3 linked regions of the Ovis aries genome follow. The protein of the gene in region 3 purifies or fractionates together with the protein of the main gene of each other region. This does not show direct contact. Links are inferred from orthologs where the notes say so. Each region holds a gene or a part of one and is shown on either strand. Other genes may lie near its edges.

Region 1 (5,129 bases), on a different chromosome or scaffold from region 3:
CAGCCAAAAGAACCCAGTACTTGAGTGCTGAAAATTGCTAACTACCCTCCGAGCCTTCAGCAAGTCATAATCCTTTTGCAATAGTAACATCGAATATCACTGAGAATTGCCAAACCATGACGCAGAGACGCAAAGTGAGCAAATGTCATCAGAAGAAAAATAGCAAGACACTGTCGCACCCTTCAGTTTCTGAGAAACATGGCAACGCACAGCGAAGCGAGGTGCCTGTGCACCCCACGTCTGCACACTGCAGGCTCACCCCTTGAATCGGCAGCCTTCTGTTTCTGCTGGGAAAGGGGGTGCATCACCTCCAAACCAGGCTGGGAACTTCCAGGAGCTTCTCTAGGCCTCAGTCCCTTGTAGGAGGCTGCCAAGGACCCCAGAGCTCTAAACCACATTGCCGTGGGACACTCTTCAGACCAGACGAGGCAGGAGGTTCAGGTTTTAGACAGTCACATCTGGGTGATTGATTGACTGACTGATTGGGATAGGACCCCAAGTTCTGGAAGTCAGCCCCTCCAGATCCCCCCAAGATGTGCCATCTGAATGTTGGGGGGGCAGGTGAGCTACAACATAGGGGTGTTTGACGGGGTGGGGCTCTGGGCCACGGGGGGCGACGGCACCCTGTGTTCCAGGGCTGTTCTTTCCTCATCTCCCCAGAAGCCTTTCTGAGCTGATAAGGCAGGATCCACAGTTTAAGGGAAGAATCTGACTCCGGGGAGCAAAACTCTGTGTTTTCGGGTCACAGAGGAAGCGAGTGCCGGGGCCCCTCCTAACATGCATCCCCCTCCATAGAAACCAGAGGTGTCTACACCCTCGACCTATCCGGCGAGCTCCCCGCGGCTCTAGAGCAGATCTTTGAGAGCCAGAAGGGCTGTGACCTGTTCATCAGGGTGAAGGTGCGTGAGGAGGACGAGCTGGCCATCTGCGCCCACAAGCTGATCCTGTCCACCAACCCCGAGGCCCATGGCCTGTGGAAGGAGCCGGGCAGTAGGGTCACCATGGAGGTGGATGCTGAGTGTGTGCCCACCGTTAAGGACTTCATCAGGTGAGTGGCCTCGGGGCCGGGCCCAGGGACCGGGCAGCGTCCCTGCCAAAGGAAAACCCCAGGGACGAGGGACGCGACACCAACCGCAGCTGTGCTCACCTGAACACACGCGAGGGCAACCACATACGTGCTCTCTCACTTGTGCGCACACATGCTCACACACCCACACGTGTGCACACTCACTTTCACAGCCACACGTCCTCACCTTTGCACACACATTCTTATGTATTCTTTCCACAGGGACTGTGAGAAATGGGTCAGCCCTCACACGTACACACACACACACACACGCACACCACACCTGTCTCTCGGGTGTCATAAGCACCCAAAAAAACTATCAAAGTCATTCTTCCTCTTTTCACCTCACTGATCTGCTCCTGCAAAAGTTTTTTTTAAAGAAACAGGAATCCAAGTCTGCTGCCGGAAGAAAGTGGGGAGAAAATTCCCAGGTGGCACCGTCCAGGCGGCAGTCTAACCAGCGGGCCATCCACGCTGGGAGCCCATCTCCCAGTTGAGAGTGGCCCCCGAGGCCCCTTCCCCTGCAGACCATCCTGCTGGGGGGTCTCTATGTCACCACATCGGGCGGGCTTTCCAGGGACTGGCGTTCTGGGAGCATCAACTTAAAGAGAGAACCAAGTGTATGAAAAGCTGTTCCCTCTCATGACCCAAAGTTGTAGCTAGCCGAAAGTGACATTTAAGAGGAAACAGCAAATGGCAGTTTAAAAAGATTAAATGGCGTCTTTTCAGCCGAGGATGAGAGCTTGGCCGCTGTCCTGCGCCCCTCCCAGCAGGGCTGAGGTCTGTGATGCGTCTGTGCCTGGTCCCAGCCTCTCGGCAGTCACCGCCCTCGGTCAGAGTCAGCGGTTCTCTGGACTGTCTAGCCATGTGCTCCAGCTTGCTCTCTCTGTCTCTCTCTGCCTTCCTGTCTCCTTCTGCCTCTCACTCCATCTCTATCTTCCTGTTGCCCTGTATCTTTGTGTCTCTCGCTCCCTCCCTCTCTCTCTGTCTCTCTCCCTCCTCTAAGGCAGAGAGGCAGCAATGAGCCCCACCCAGGCCCTAGAGGGTCTCTGGAGACCCTGGTTCACTGCCTACACCACCCCCCACTCCCCTTCCCTCTGCCCGGCAGCCCCCACGTGGTGCAGATGACCATTTTGGTTCTCGAGTTCACATTCAGCAACAGAATCACAGGATGTACTGAGCACATCAGGGCAGAGCGGCAGGTGGGACGAGGACCGGCCCACCCTTGCTGCTGCCACTGGACTCTGTGGGGTCCCGGCTCCTTTCTGGGCACCCGAGGCTCCGTGTTCAAGTGATGGGGAAGCCAGCAAGTCTGAGGCTCCCTGGAAGGCTCGTCATTCGAGAGAAGTGGTGGACAGAGTTTGGTTCTTTCCAAAGCAGGGCCCCATTCACCATCTCCCAGGAGACGGCAGGGGCCATTGCCTGGCGTTTCCCCTCCCAGCAGGCTCCCTCCACACGTGTCTTCATGAGCAAAGTGCCTCCTGGTGGCACACTGAGTTACACGGTGGGTGGCATAGACTGGGTGCCACCCACAGGGCTCACAGCTGGCAGGGATGGCAGACAGGAGGTGACCCATGATGATGCCCATGTCATGGGGGCACCAGACAGGTGCTGGGGCAGAGGGGCACCCATGGGCACCCAGTGGGGAAATCAAGAGTTCTGCCCAGGGGTGTGACAGGGGAGAGGGAAGGGCAGAGCCCCGGATGGCCAGCGGGTCCTGGTGTCGGGGCCCAGCCCATGAAGATGACGGTGATGATGGAGGAGGTGGCGGGACCGTCCCCATCAGTGAGGACGAAGCAACATCCTCAGGGTGTCTGGGGTCCGCCCAGCTGCCTATGCACTTGGCTCTCGGCCCACATAGCTTGGAATGGGGGTTGACTCAGGAGATAAGTCAGGGGGCTCCAAATGCCCCCTGAAATAGCTGGCACCCCGGGGATCAGCAGTCAGCCAGACACCTGCACCGGGGCACACCTGTCGTCCTTCGGGAGAAGGGGTGTAGCCAGGCGTCAGCCCTCGTCTCCCCTCAGGTACCTCTACTCCCGGAGGATCGATGTGTCTCTGTCGTCAGTGAAGTGTTTGCACAAGCTCGCCTCTGCCTACCAGGCCGAGCAGCTGCAGAGCTACTGCGGGCACCTCTTTGCCATCCTCATCCCCCAGGACCCCTCTTTCCGGACACCCCTGGAGCTCTACGCCTACGCCCTGGCCACCCGGGACCCCGTGCTGGAGGAGATCTGCGTGCAGTTCCTGGCCTGGAACTTCGGGGCCCTGACGCAGGCCGAGGCCTGGCTGAGCGTCCCCCCGGGCCTGCTCCAAGACCTGCTCTCCAGGACCGAACTAGTGGTGCCCAGCGAGCTGGTCCTGCTGCGGGCTGTGGACGAGTGGAGCCGGGAGAGGAGCACCTCCCACAAGGAAGTGGAGGGCTTGGTGGAGAAGGTGCGGTTCCCCATGATGCCACCCCGGGACCTCTTCTCGCTGCAGTTTAACCTGTCCCTGTACTGGAGTCACGAGGCGCTCCTCCAGAAGAAGATACTACAGGCCCTGGAGTTCCACACCGTGCCCTTCGAGCTGCTGGCTCAGTACTGGGGCCTGAACCTCACCGAGGACGCCTACCAGCCCCGGCTTTATACCTCGCCCACCTGGAGCGAGTCTGTGATGAGCTCCAGTTACAACCCCTACCGGTCCTTCCAGACGCCCCAGCACCCCAGCTTCCTCTTCCAGGCCAGTTCCGTCTCCTGGTCTTTAGTCTACCTCCCCACCCTCCAGAGCTGCTGGAACTACGGGTTCTCGTGCTCCTCCGATGACCCCCCACTCCTGGCTCTCTCCAAGTCCAGCTACTCCAGTCCCACCATTGGCTATGAAAACCGGGCCCTGCTGCACTGTGAGGGGAGCTTTGTGGCAGACGTCATCGACTTCAAGGGCTGGAAGGCCCTGATCCCCAGTGCCCTGGGTACCAACAGCTCCAGGAGCACTTCCCTCTTCCCCTGCCCGGCAGGGCTCTTCAGCAGGTTCCAAGTCGTCATCCGTCCCTTCTACCTGACCAACTCCACGGGCATGGACTAGACTCGAGGCTGGAGGTCGGGGTGGGCAGGAGCCCAGAGGCTGGGCACCTTCCTCCCCTCCACATCCTCTCTGCAGCCACCTCCAACCACCGGCCACCAGGTGGCCCCCCTGCTTCCCTTGATCTCTCTGAGCTTACGGAAATTACTGGAAGACTTCAGCTACTGCAGACTTCCCTGGTGGCTCAGATGGTAAAGAATCTGCCCACAATGTAGGAGACCTGGGTTCAACCCCTGTGTTGGGAGGATCCCCTGGAGAAGGGAATAGCAACCCACTCCAGTATTCTTGCCTGGAGAATCCCATGGACAGAGGAGCCTGGCAGGCTACAGTCCACGGAGTCTCAGAGTCAGAGACAACTTGTTGCAAAGAGTTGGACACAACTGAGCATCTAACACTTCCTTCCTTCCTTCAACTAGTGCACTCACAAGCTGAGAACTCCCACTTCAACTGCACAGCTAATTTGTTGGGAAGCAATGAGATGTGAGCCAGGAGCTGTTGGGTTTCCTACCTGGCCTTTCACTTTCTCCACCCTCTGCTGTCCCTTATCTGAGATCATTAAAATTGTACTGTGGTTCCCCCAAGTTCTCTTGTTCACGCAGAATGGGCTGATGAGTCCATAGGGTGTTGAGACAGAGGATGATGCGCTAGGCCCTGGGATCCAGTAATGAGCCAGTGTGGTCCCTTCCCCGTGAAGCTGCTGTGGTCTTGTAGGTGAGACAGGCCATTACAAGTAAGCAAACACTTGGGGTGAGGACCAGCGGGAATAATGGGTGATGGAAACCAGAGGAAGGAAGGTGGGAGGCACGGGCTGGAGCTACTTTAGTGGATCTCAGTGGAGAAATGAAGCGTGCGAGGCAGCAGGCGTGGGGGAAATGGCAGGAGGGTGTGTGTGTTCCAGGGAGAAGGATCAGTAGGTGATCGGAATCTTGGCCCCATCAATCTTCCCACTTGTGTACAGGGAAGGGGGCAGAGATTCTCGTCCCAGCATTGTTTGTAGAAGTGGAAA
Region 2 (4,749 bases), on a different chromosome or scaffold from region 3:
TCTGTGTAGAAAAACATTTAAAAATGTGTTAGAAAGCACTAACAAATACATGGGAAGATATTGTGAAGCTATCAGTTCTTTTAAATTAGTCTACAAGGTTGAACACAATTCCAGTCAAATCCCAACTGGATTTTTTGGAAGAAGATGATGAGATAATTCCAAACTGTGTATGAAAAACGGAAGATCTGGGAATAACCAAGGCACCAGAGAATAAGGTTGAAAGGGACTAGTTTGTCAGATAGATAAGCTATAATTAAAATAGTGTAGCATTAGCACAGAGTGGACAGATTTTGCAAAGGAATCAAATGTATCCCAAAGAAGCATATATGTATCCCATATAATGTATCCCTTATATACATATATGTGGAAATGTGATCTATCACAGAGGGAATGTATAGATCCCTGTTCATGTTATTTAAAAAATCAGTTCTGTACAGAGTAAAAGTTTAAATAGAAATGGAAAAAATTTAGGCATTGTAGAAGAATTTATATATGACTTCAGGTTTAGAAAGTTACTTAAATATAAGAGGGTACATTACCTATAAAAATAGATTGGTAAATTTACATTAATATTAGGTTAGTAATTTGAGAATGTCAGTAGTAAGCGTTCATCCAGGACACCATTAATAAAATGAAAAGACAACAGATATCTGCAGTACTCATATAACCAATAGAGGATTAGATTATGTAAAGAACTGTTATGAATAATTTCTTTTAAGATATTCAATAGAACAATAGTTTAAAAACATAGACAAGCATTTCACTGAAGAATAGTATATGAACATAGGGAAAGTTGCTCAGCCCTGCAAATTAACCAGAGAACTGAAAATGGAATTGGTTACCATTTCACACCCAGTAGATGGAAACACATTTGTAAAAAGTCTGGCAACACCAAGTCTTGGTGTGGATGTAGAGCTAGAGGAACTCTTCTTATTCTGATGATGAGCATGTCCATTAATACTACAACTTCGGAAAATAATTTCTATTATTTTGTAAGTTTGAACAGTGTACCTTTCGATCATACCTGTGACTCAACACATCTTGGATATATTATCCACATAAATTGGCACATGTGGGTTGGAAGACATATACATTATTGTTACAACATTTTAATAATAAACACTTAAAAAAACAGTTCAATTTGACAGAAGAATGTACACTAGTACAGATCAATGAATTATAGATAAATAGAATATGACCTTGAAAACATGATACTGGATTATTTTTAACTGTATACTACTCAAGGCTACATAGGATATGGTACCCTTTTTGTAATGCTCAAAAGCAAGCATAACAAAAATACATTGACTACAGATTCTATGTTATGCAAAAATATATAAATACATATATATTTTTTAGAAAACATTTCTTTGCTCAAACAAATTCCAGAGAGTAGTGACTTCTTTCTTGGGCTTCTCTCAAGAGTTAAGTGAGGAGCACCACAGGAAGCTTCTGTGATTTTCATTATGTTCTAGCCCATAATTTCTGTGGCAGGTGACACACAGATACTCCTTTTATTGTTACATTTCATAATTTTTATGTCTTCTCTTTCTTTTTGGCCATGCAACATGGCTTGTGGGATCTTAGTTCCTAAACCAGGGGTTGAACCCTAGCCATAGAAGTGAAAGCCCAGAGCCCTAACCACCGGGCCACCTGGGAATTCCTACTCTTATGGTTTTGCAGGCATGACTTAACTGCATTTTACTGAGTAAACCTCTGTTATAAATAGGCTCTTTGCATTCTGCTGGAAGTTTGTTTGTTTTTTTTCAATAGCTTAAACGTTGATAATAGTTAAACATTGTAACCTAGAGCATTGTCTGTGTTTCATTGTAATATAAACCTATATCTTTTCCTTAATGATGATTTCTATATTAAGGAATGTAGTGTAATGGGAGTTCCGGAGGTAGACAGCTGGGTTTATATCCTAGCTCTAACATATACTAGTTGTGTGACTTTGGTTGAGTTACAACTTCTCTGTGATTCAGTTACATGTGTAAAATAGAGGTAGTAATTCTAAGATTAAATGAGTTCTTACATCTGAAGTAGAAGACACAGAGCCTAGCACATAGTAAATAAATACTAGGTGCAGTGGTATTTTTACTATTATAATAATTGTTAATAGTAACATGAAATAATAAGAGTATAGTCATTTTCTTGAGTGATTCTAGAATTGGTAAAACTGTTCTAATTCTAATAAATATTATATGTTTTCCCCTAGAGAAGCATGCCATAGGGACATTGTGAATTTGCAAGTGGAGATGATTAAACAGTTTCATATGCAATTGGTATGTATTGACATGTTTTATTGTAAGTGAGCATAGCTGTGGATCTAAAAAGTCCATGAAAGGGTGACGTATTCTTACTTGGTTATATCTAATTGCTAAGAAATAAAAGAGCGTTTTAGAAATTTAGTAAATAAAATAGATTTTAACTAGTCACCCTTCTTTATAACCTATGATAGTTAAGGCTACTTTTTTCACAGCTTTTTTTTTTTTTTTGGCTGTAAGTAAACAAAAACCTTTCCAAATGTGGAAATGTAAACTTTCCAAATACGTAAATTTTACCAGTGCTCTTTCATTTATATTAGCAAAGTAGTAAGGGTGGTTAAATTGAAAAAAAAATTACTCAGTTAACTGAACATGAGAAAAATGATAGCTGAAAATGTGTAAAACAATGTCAAATAAATGTGAAATGCCAGTAATTAAAAAAAATTTTTTCCCCCTTTTCTAGAATGAAATGCACTCTTTGTTGGAAAGATACTCAGTGAATGAAGGTTTAGTGGCAGAAATTGAAAGACTACGAGAAGAAAACAAAAGACTGCGGGCACACTTTTGAAATTTCAGTGAATACTTTGATGTTTTGTAATTTGGGAAGGTTCTGACAACACAGAACTACATGAAATCAGTATTGTTTCCATAACCTCTGGGAGAAAAAGTGTTTTTCAGTCAAAGGGTGATGGGATTTTATACCATTCACTATTTCATCTTTTCTGTCAAATATATTTATATTTTTATATTAAAAACTGTACACTATGTCGTCCGCCTAAAAGGAAAGCCAACAGAATCTTTATTTTATGAAAGCTTTAGCTATACACTAAGTGCCCTTTTTCATGAAAAAATTGTGCAAAAAAATAGGTTATGTATGTTTTTTAATCATCCTTTCTAAACATAATATTTTTGGTTGACAGTTGCCTTCCAAATTTTTTTGGATGTTTAATGATTAAAGAGTTTGATATACCTTCTATTTTTATGGAGAAAGTAAGTTTAATTGATGTTTTGTGTTTCTAAGCAATTGACTAATAAAACACAAAGTTGGTTAGTAATTATTTTGTTAACTTGGTGAAGTCAAGTATAACTATTATTTATTACTTGTACATTTGATAAGAAAATTTTCAGATTTTGAATTGCACAGATCACATTATATCTATTGCATTATTCTTTTATACTTCTAACTAATCTCTACTCTGGTTGATATTTTGTAGTTAATTTTACCTATGAAAACTTTTAAGGGTTTATAAGACTCAACCAGAACTGTGTATCTGCTTATTTCATTAATTAACAGCATAAAATTTATACTATAATGTTTCAGTCAATATAATTCCACTTAATAATTAGTGAAAATTTCATATTATACTAAGTATTACAGTATTAGTCCATTTTTTCTCCTCCTAAATGAGGTATGGTTTATTTTGTTTTGTGGTTTATATCATTAACTTCCTTTAATTCTTTTTTGTGCTGTGTGTAATACTTTTATATTATTGACCCACTATAAAATAAAAAAAAATTTTTTTTAAAACAGGAAGGTTAATTGTCAAAAGAATATACACCTCTGACAATATATGAATGTTAACATGCTATGATCTACATTTTTAGTGGTATAAGATTAAGAGGGCAGCTGGCTTATTTACCTCTTATAGTCTCTTGTCCCAGAGATTTAAACTATACCTTGTATATAGCACTCCTGCTCAATTTTAACTTTTGAGATGAAAGTATTTACTAAAATAAAAAAGAAGTCTAGCTGGATTACTAACTTTTTCCTTCCAGGTGATGAAAGATTTTAAGGATACATTTAGTAAGTGTAAAATACTAATAATTATTTCAAGAAATAAATTACTTTGTCTTAGTGGAATACATTTGTATTAAAGCATAAGGGAGCTTCCCAGGTGGCACCAGTGGTAAAGAACCCACCTCCCAGTACAGGAGACATGAGACCCAGGTTCAATCCATGAGGCAGGAAGATCCCCTGGAGGAGGGCATGGCAACCCACTGCAGTATTCTTGCCTGGAGAATCCCATGGATAGAGGAGTCTGGTAGACGGCAATCCATAGGGTCACAGAGAGTTGGAGACACTGAAGTGACTTAGCACACAAAGCATAAAGGGATGCTAATATAATCTTTTTTTCCTGACAGGTAATGAAAGCATTATGGCTTGTAACAAGTTTTGTCACATATCATTATCAAACAGATTTAGAAGACATAAAAATGTGTTTTGCGTTATCCGTTAGTATTTGCCTGTTGCCTTTTTCTATAAATGCACATAATGTATATTAAAAGAAGTTAGATAAATATAATAATTTTGGTAACCTTATGCATAAGATGAAACATTTTTTGTCATGGAATTTAAAAGCTAAATAAGTAAAAAAAAGTTAAATTTTAAATGGTAAAAATGGGAAATCAGAAGTTGAATTTTAGCCTCTAGCCAAAATAGAATAATAAGAGATGAAATCAGAAATTGAATTTTAGCCTCTAG
Region 3 (5,129 bases):
AGTGTGAACTGTCTGTCGGCTGGGGACTCGTGTGATTCTGTAGCTGCATTTGCAATGCGCTTATTTTCAGGTCTCCAGCTACGCCACGCTGTTCGCTCAGGCGCTACCACGCGATGCCCACTCCACGCCCTACTACTACGCCCGGCCTCAGACCCTGCCGCTGAACTACCAGGAGCGCAGCGCCCCGTCGGCCCAGAGCTCGGGCAGCCTGGGGAGCAGCGGCATCAGCAGCATCGGTGTGCACACCCTCAACGGCCCGACCCCGCCGCCCCCGTCCCTGCTGCCGGGGTAAGCTGGCGCTCGCGCGGGTCCCCCGCGGTGGAGGCGGGCGCGGCCTTGCTCTCAGTCCAGCATTCAGTCTTCAGAGCCTCGTGCGTGTCCGGGGTGTCTCGGCCCTGGGTCTGACGTGCTCTGGTGGGAGTCAGCTGTCTAAGCACACCCTCCGGGTCGCTCCCGTCTGCGTTGACCGTTGGGTCGGCTGCCTCCTGACTGGTAACGCAGCTGCTGCGGCAGGGCCGGCTCGCGGGGAGGTGTGCGGTGCCTTGGTTGGTGGGAACTGGGAGTGGGCTGGCGCAGCCACCTTCAGACGGTGTTTCCCTCGTGGGCGGGGCCCGGCGACGCGCCTGTCACTGGGTCAGTCAGGTGAAAGTTTGTTGGAGTTACTGGAAGACAGAACGTGTGTCCAGACACGGGGATTACAGACAGAGCCTAGGACTTTATAAAGACAGCACCATGTACCCCCAAATCTAATCTCAGACTCCCATTCTGGCTGAAGGAGTCTGGCTGAAACACACTTTCTTGTTTTCGCCTTTAATATAAGTAGTTGAAATAATTACTGTCATGATATTGAAAAAGCGGCATAGAGAACCGTGAACTGAAGTGGTCGTTTAGACTTTCTCTTAAATTTGGAACTGTACTCAGAACCATCGTCGGATCAGTGTCCCCCCTGCCGGGGGCGGGCTGGGGGAAGGGCTGTCTCCGGGTCCTTGTGGAACTCCCTGGTGGGCTGCCCGCGGGCGTCACTGAGCGCCGTCCTGACGGGGGTGGCCTCTCCCTGCGGTTGATGTTGCTGTGTGTGACGCTGGTTGCAGATCCCACTGTTTGCGTCAAGTGCTGTGAAGGCTGAGAGATAGACAGGGCAGGGGGCGGTGTCATCGGTTTTTACTCAGCAAACGTGGATGGGTTTCCAGGGTAAAATCAGCAGTGAACCCTAGAGTGCTCTGAGCTGGAAGTGTATGTGGGTGTTTGCAGGCACAGCCGGGTCGGCCTGTGACAGAGCCGGGAGGGCTGTGCAGGAGGCAGGAGCCCGGGGGCCGCAGTCGGGGAGGGACAGCCGCGCGGGTCTCGGGCTCACCCGGGCCAGTGGCTCAGTGTGGTGACTCAGGGAGCGTGTCTGCAGCGTCTCAGCGACCTCTGTGACTAGCCCGGCGTGCGGACCCAGCAGGCACCTCCTCTTTTCAGACAGTCTCACCCGGGCCCAGGGACGGGCGACTGTCTCCGGCAGCAGCTGGGCGCCCGTCTGGCATGGACGTTGACTGCAAGCCAGCCTTCCTTACAAACCACTACCTCCAAAGGCGTCCCCAGTGCGACTTCCCGCAGCGTGACTCGGCCACGGAGAGACGGGGATGCAGGCGGTGAGTGAGGACGGGCTCTGGGTTTTCCGGGGTTTGCAGCCGACAGTGTCCCGTGCGCCCCGTGGGGGTGCCTGTGTTGGCCTTGTCACCCAGCCCCACCTGCGCTCACGACTGCCGGGCGTGGCTCTGGGTGTGCACCCTCCTCCTCCTCCCGGCCGGCCTGTTTCTGTTTATCTGGTGTTTGTGGAGGGTCGCCCCGTGCTGGGGCGATATTACCTGGCTGTGCTCGGACGGGGCCTCTCCCACTGGAACCTCGCCTCTCTGGGCCTTGCCTTCTTGTGATATTGGGTGACAGCCACGCTCTGAGCTGGCCTTTGTTCCAGGGTTTGTGGGGCTCGTAAACCCTCTCCGGTGTGTTAATGCCTGTGGCCTGGTGGGGATGGAGCCCGGCTTACACGCCTGCTGCGTGGTCAGTCAGGTCTCTGACACCACATGAAGCGGTTACCCACCCCTCTGGGATTGGCTTGTGCTGCCCCTGGATCATGTGTTAAACTCCCGTGGATTGCTTTCTCTTTGAAAAAAGGGCTTTTGGAAGACAAACCACATGCTCTCCAGATGCTCTTCAGAAAGTCCGTGTTTTTAAAAAATATAACTTCATATTCTTTTCCATCTTAAACTCAGTTAGCTTTTAAGTTTTGTTCTGGTTGCGAACACATCACCTGGGGCGAGCTGTGTCGAGCAGTTCACCGCACGGAAACCGCGTTGCAGGTGCTGTGGAGGTCACCGAGGCGGCCCTCGTCAGAGACATCCTGTACGTCTTCCAGGGCATAGACGGCAGGAACATCAAGATGAGCAGCGCTGACAACTGTTACAAAGTGGAGGGGAAGGTACGGTGCCCTGACCCGCTGCAGCCCTCACGAGTCAGGGTGACTGTCCCCAGGGCCAGGTGGGAGCCGCTGGTCTGGGAGGTGCTGCTCGTTGACGCGGGTGGTCTGCAGGCGAGGTCCTGGCCCCCGTACCGGCTCGTCCTCCGTGCTCACCTCCTCCCTCCTGTGGTGCCGGTGCCAGGCTTACCTGCCGGACTGCTGTCCTGGCATCTGTGCTCCGACACAGGTCCCACGTGAGGCGCTCTCGCCCAGTTTTGCTTCCTCCGGAGCCTGCCTTTCTCACAGTCCATCTTGCTGACGATCTGTCCTTCTGCGTCTCTTGGCTGAGGCTCAGGCCGCTGGCCTCACAGACGGCCCTTGCCACGCCGGGCCCTCCTGGGGGTGGCGGCCCTCCCGCCTGACGCGTTGTCTGCGCCAGGGCGCGGCCTGTGTCCCAGGCCTCACTGTCCTCATGTCAGGGTGGTGTGTTGGTGATCTTTAAGTTTCTTGTGTTGAAGCCTGAGAATCACAAACATAAAAGTGCAAGTGGTTGGAAAAAAAGTAATAAAATTCCAGCGTTAAAAGCAGTTTTTTAGCTGTGGACGTGTTTGCTTTTTAGGCAAACCTGAACAAGTCCTTGCGGGATACGGCTATGAGACTGGCCGAGCTGGGGTGGCTGCACAACAAGATCAGAAAGTACACGGACCAGAGGAGCCTGGACCGCTCGTTTGGGCTTGTCGGCCAGGTGTGTGCTTCGGTAGCGAGACGCCTGGGGATTCGGGCGGCGCTCGCCTCAGGAAGCGCTTCGTCTCCTTAGAACCTCACGTGAAAGTCATCCTGAGGCGGGTCCTTTTTACATGAAGCAGGTTTGGTATGATGCACTTTGTCAGCCACGGTCCTCTCAAGAAAATAGAAAGCACAGTAAATATTGACACAGGTGATCGACCAGGAAACTTCTAATGTTTAACGAGTGTTTAGGAACGCTGACCTGTCTGAGTCACTTTACGTATTTTAATGACTTCCCTTTGACCTAAAATTCTCTCAGTTAAACTTTGTTTAATTGAAGGACAGTTGGTTTACAGTGTCGTGTGTGAAGTGTGTGTCAAAGTGACTCGGGTGTGTGCGTGTGCGTGTGTGTGTGCGTGTGTGCGTGTGCGTGTGTGTGTGTGCGCGTGTGTATGCGTGTGCGTGTGCATGCGTGTGCGTGTGCGTGTGTGCGTGTGTGTGTGTGTGTGCGCTAAGTTGCTTCTGTCGTGTCCGACTCAGCGTGACCCCACGGACTGCAGCCCGCCAGGCTCCTCTGTCCATGGGGTTTCGCAGGCAGGAGCACTGGAGTGGGGTGCCATTCCCCCCTTCAGGGGGTCTCCCCGACTTTGCTGTTCACCTGAAGCTGACGTGGCATTGTACATCAACGGTACTTCCATGAGCCAGAGTAAGAGGCATATAGCTAAAAATACAGCATCAGTGTGTGGAGGGAGGAAACGCCCTGCAGGTTATGAGCACGGCGCTGCGCCTCCGCTGTGCTCCTGCAAAGCCCGTGCTGAGACGGCCCCTGACACCGTTGAGTCCGTGTGTTGAGGTGGTTCACCTGCACGAGCTCTGTGGACAGAAGCAGGCGCGTCTGAGGGCCGTCCTTCGCAGCTGGGTGGCGCCTGTCCTGAGCGCAGCGACCACGACCTGCCTCTCTTTCCACAGAGCTTCTGCGCGGCCTTGCACCAGGAACTCAAGGAGTACTACCGGCTGCTCTCCGTCCTGCACTCCCAGGTAAGCCCTTGTTTTTATTTCATCACGATCTGAAATGTCACAGAATTCCACTCTCCAGAATCCCTGCATTTCCTCCTACGCTAATTTTAAGGTGTGATGGTCCTGGTGGAAGGGTTGGGCCCCTGTAGAGCTGTGGTGTGTCCTGGAGTCAGCTTGCGGCTCGCTTTCAGGGTCCTGTCGGCCTGAGGCAGACCTCCTGTATCTTGAAGGAGCTGTCCTCTCCCAGAGGCCCTCTGTCTCGTTTACGTGAGGATCACCCCTTCCCCGGGACTTGACGTGGGTTAAGACGTGGGTTAGGGCTCCTGGGTGGCTGTACTCAGCCGTTCTTTTGTTCTCGTTTTTCAGCTGCAGCTGGAGGACGATCAGGGTGTGAATTTGGGCTTCGAGAGCAGCTTGACGCTCCGGCGCCTCCTGGTGTGGACGTATGACCCCAAGATAAGACTAAAGACCCTGGCGGCCCTGGTGGACCACTGCCAAGGTCATTCTGCGCGGTTTCAAGGCAGCTGTAGGGAGGGTCACTGAGGCCTGACTCTGTGTCTGCCCTGTATGCATGGCAGCCGGAAGGGTGCTACCAAAGACAGGTGGATAGACTTGGACTTCCAGGGGGAGAGCCCGTGGGCCAGGGTTTACGCTCGTGGCGCTCAGGACCTCCCTGAGATGAAGTAGGCGTGGGGGTGTGGTCCCCTGAGGCCTCTTGTGCTCCGGAGACGCGTCTGCCCTTACTCTGCGGCCTCTCCTCGGCCTCCCCCGCCCCCCCTTGGCCCCAGGTCTGGCTCAGCAGCCGTGTTGCTCGCCCCCGTGCGTGCGTCTGCCTGGGCCTCTCCCACCTCCAGCCTGGGGCTTGGCGCTCTGCGCAGCGCGCATGCTTTCCTGGCCGGGGGCCCCTGGCCTCTTCCTCCTCGCTTTGTCTCTGCGCCTCGGCCTC

What was found. Proteins that work in one complex are often made in the same cells at the same time.
Region 1: the proteins of TUBGCP3 (region 3) and LGALS3BP purify together in Homo sapiens (affinity purification with mass spectrometry; 4 studies listed by BioGRID and IntAct, counting the BioPlex papers as one, with this or other methods). This does not show direct contact. The link is inferred for Ovis aries from reciprocal best matches to the Homo sapiens genes TUBGCP3 and LGALS3BP.
Region 2: the proteins of TUBGCP3 (region 3) and NEDD1 purify together in Homo sapiens (affinity purification with mass spectrometry; 3 studies listed by BioGRID and IntAct, with this or other methods). This does not show direct contact. The link is inferred for Ovis aries from reciprocal best matches to the Homo sapiens genes TUBGCP3 and NEDD1.

Annotation. Positions count from the first base shown.
Region 1 is NC_056064.1:52,761,357-52,766,485, forward strand, and holds the end of LGALS3BP (galectin-3-binding protein), read left to right. Parts: intron 1-795; coding exon 796-1,048; intron 1,049-3,093; coding exon 3,094-4,126; 3' UTR 4,127-4,704; downstream 4,705-5,129.
Region 2 is NC_056056.1:166,700,180-166,704,928, forward strand, and holds the end of NEDD1 (protein NEDD1), read left to right. Parts: intron 1-2,218; coding exon 2,219-2,285; intron 2,286-2,730; coding exon 2,731-2,835; 3' UTR 2,836-3,795; downstream 3,796-4,749. UniProt on the Homo sapiens protein: Required for mitosis progression. Promotes the nucleation of microtubules from the spindle.
Region 3 is NC_056063.1:85,558,443-85,563,571, reverse strand, and holds part of TUBGCP3 (gamma-tubulin complex component 3), read left to right. Parts: intron 1-70; coding exon 71-288; intron 289-1,461; coding exon 1,462-1,634; intron 1,635-2,342; coding exon 2,343-2,461; intron 2,462-3,059; coding exon 3,060-3,185; intron 3,186-4,135; coding exon 4,136-4,204; intron 4,205-4,549; coding exon 4,550-4,682; intron 4,683-5,129. UniProt on the Homo sapiens protein: Component of the gamma-tubulin ring complex (gTuRC) which mediates microtubule nucleation.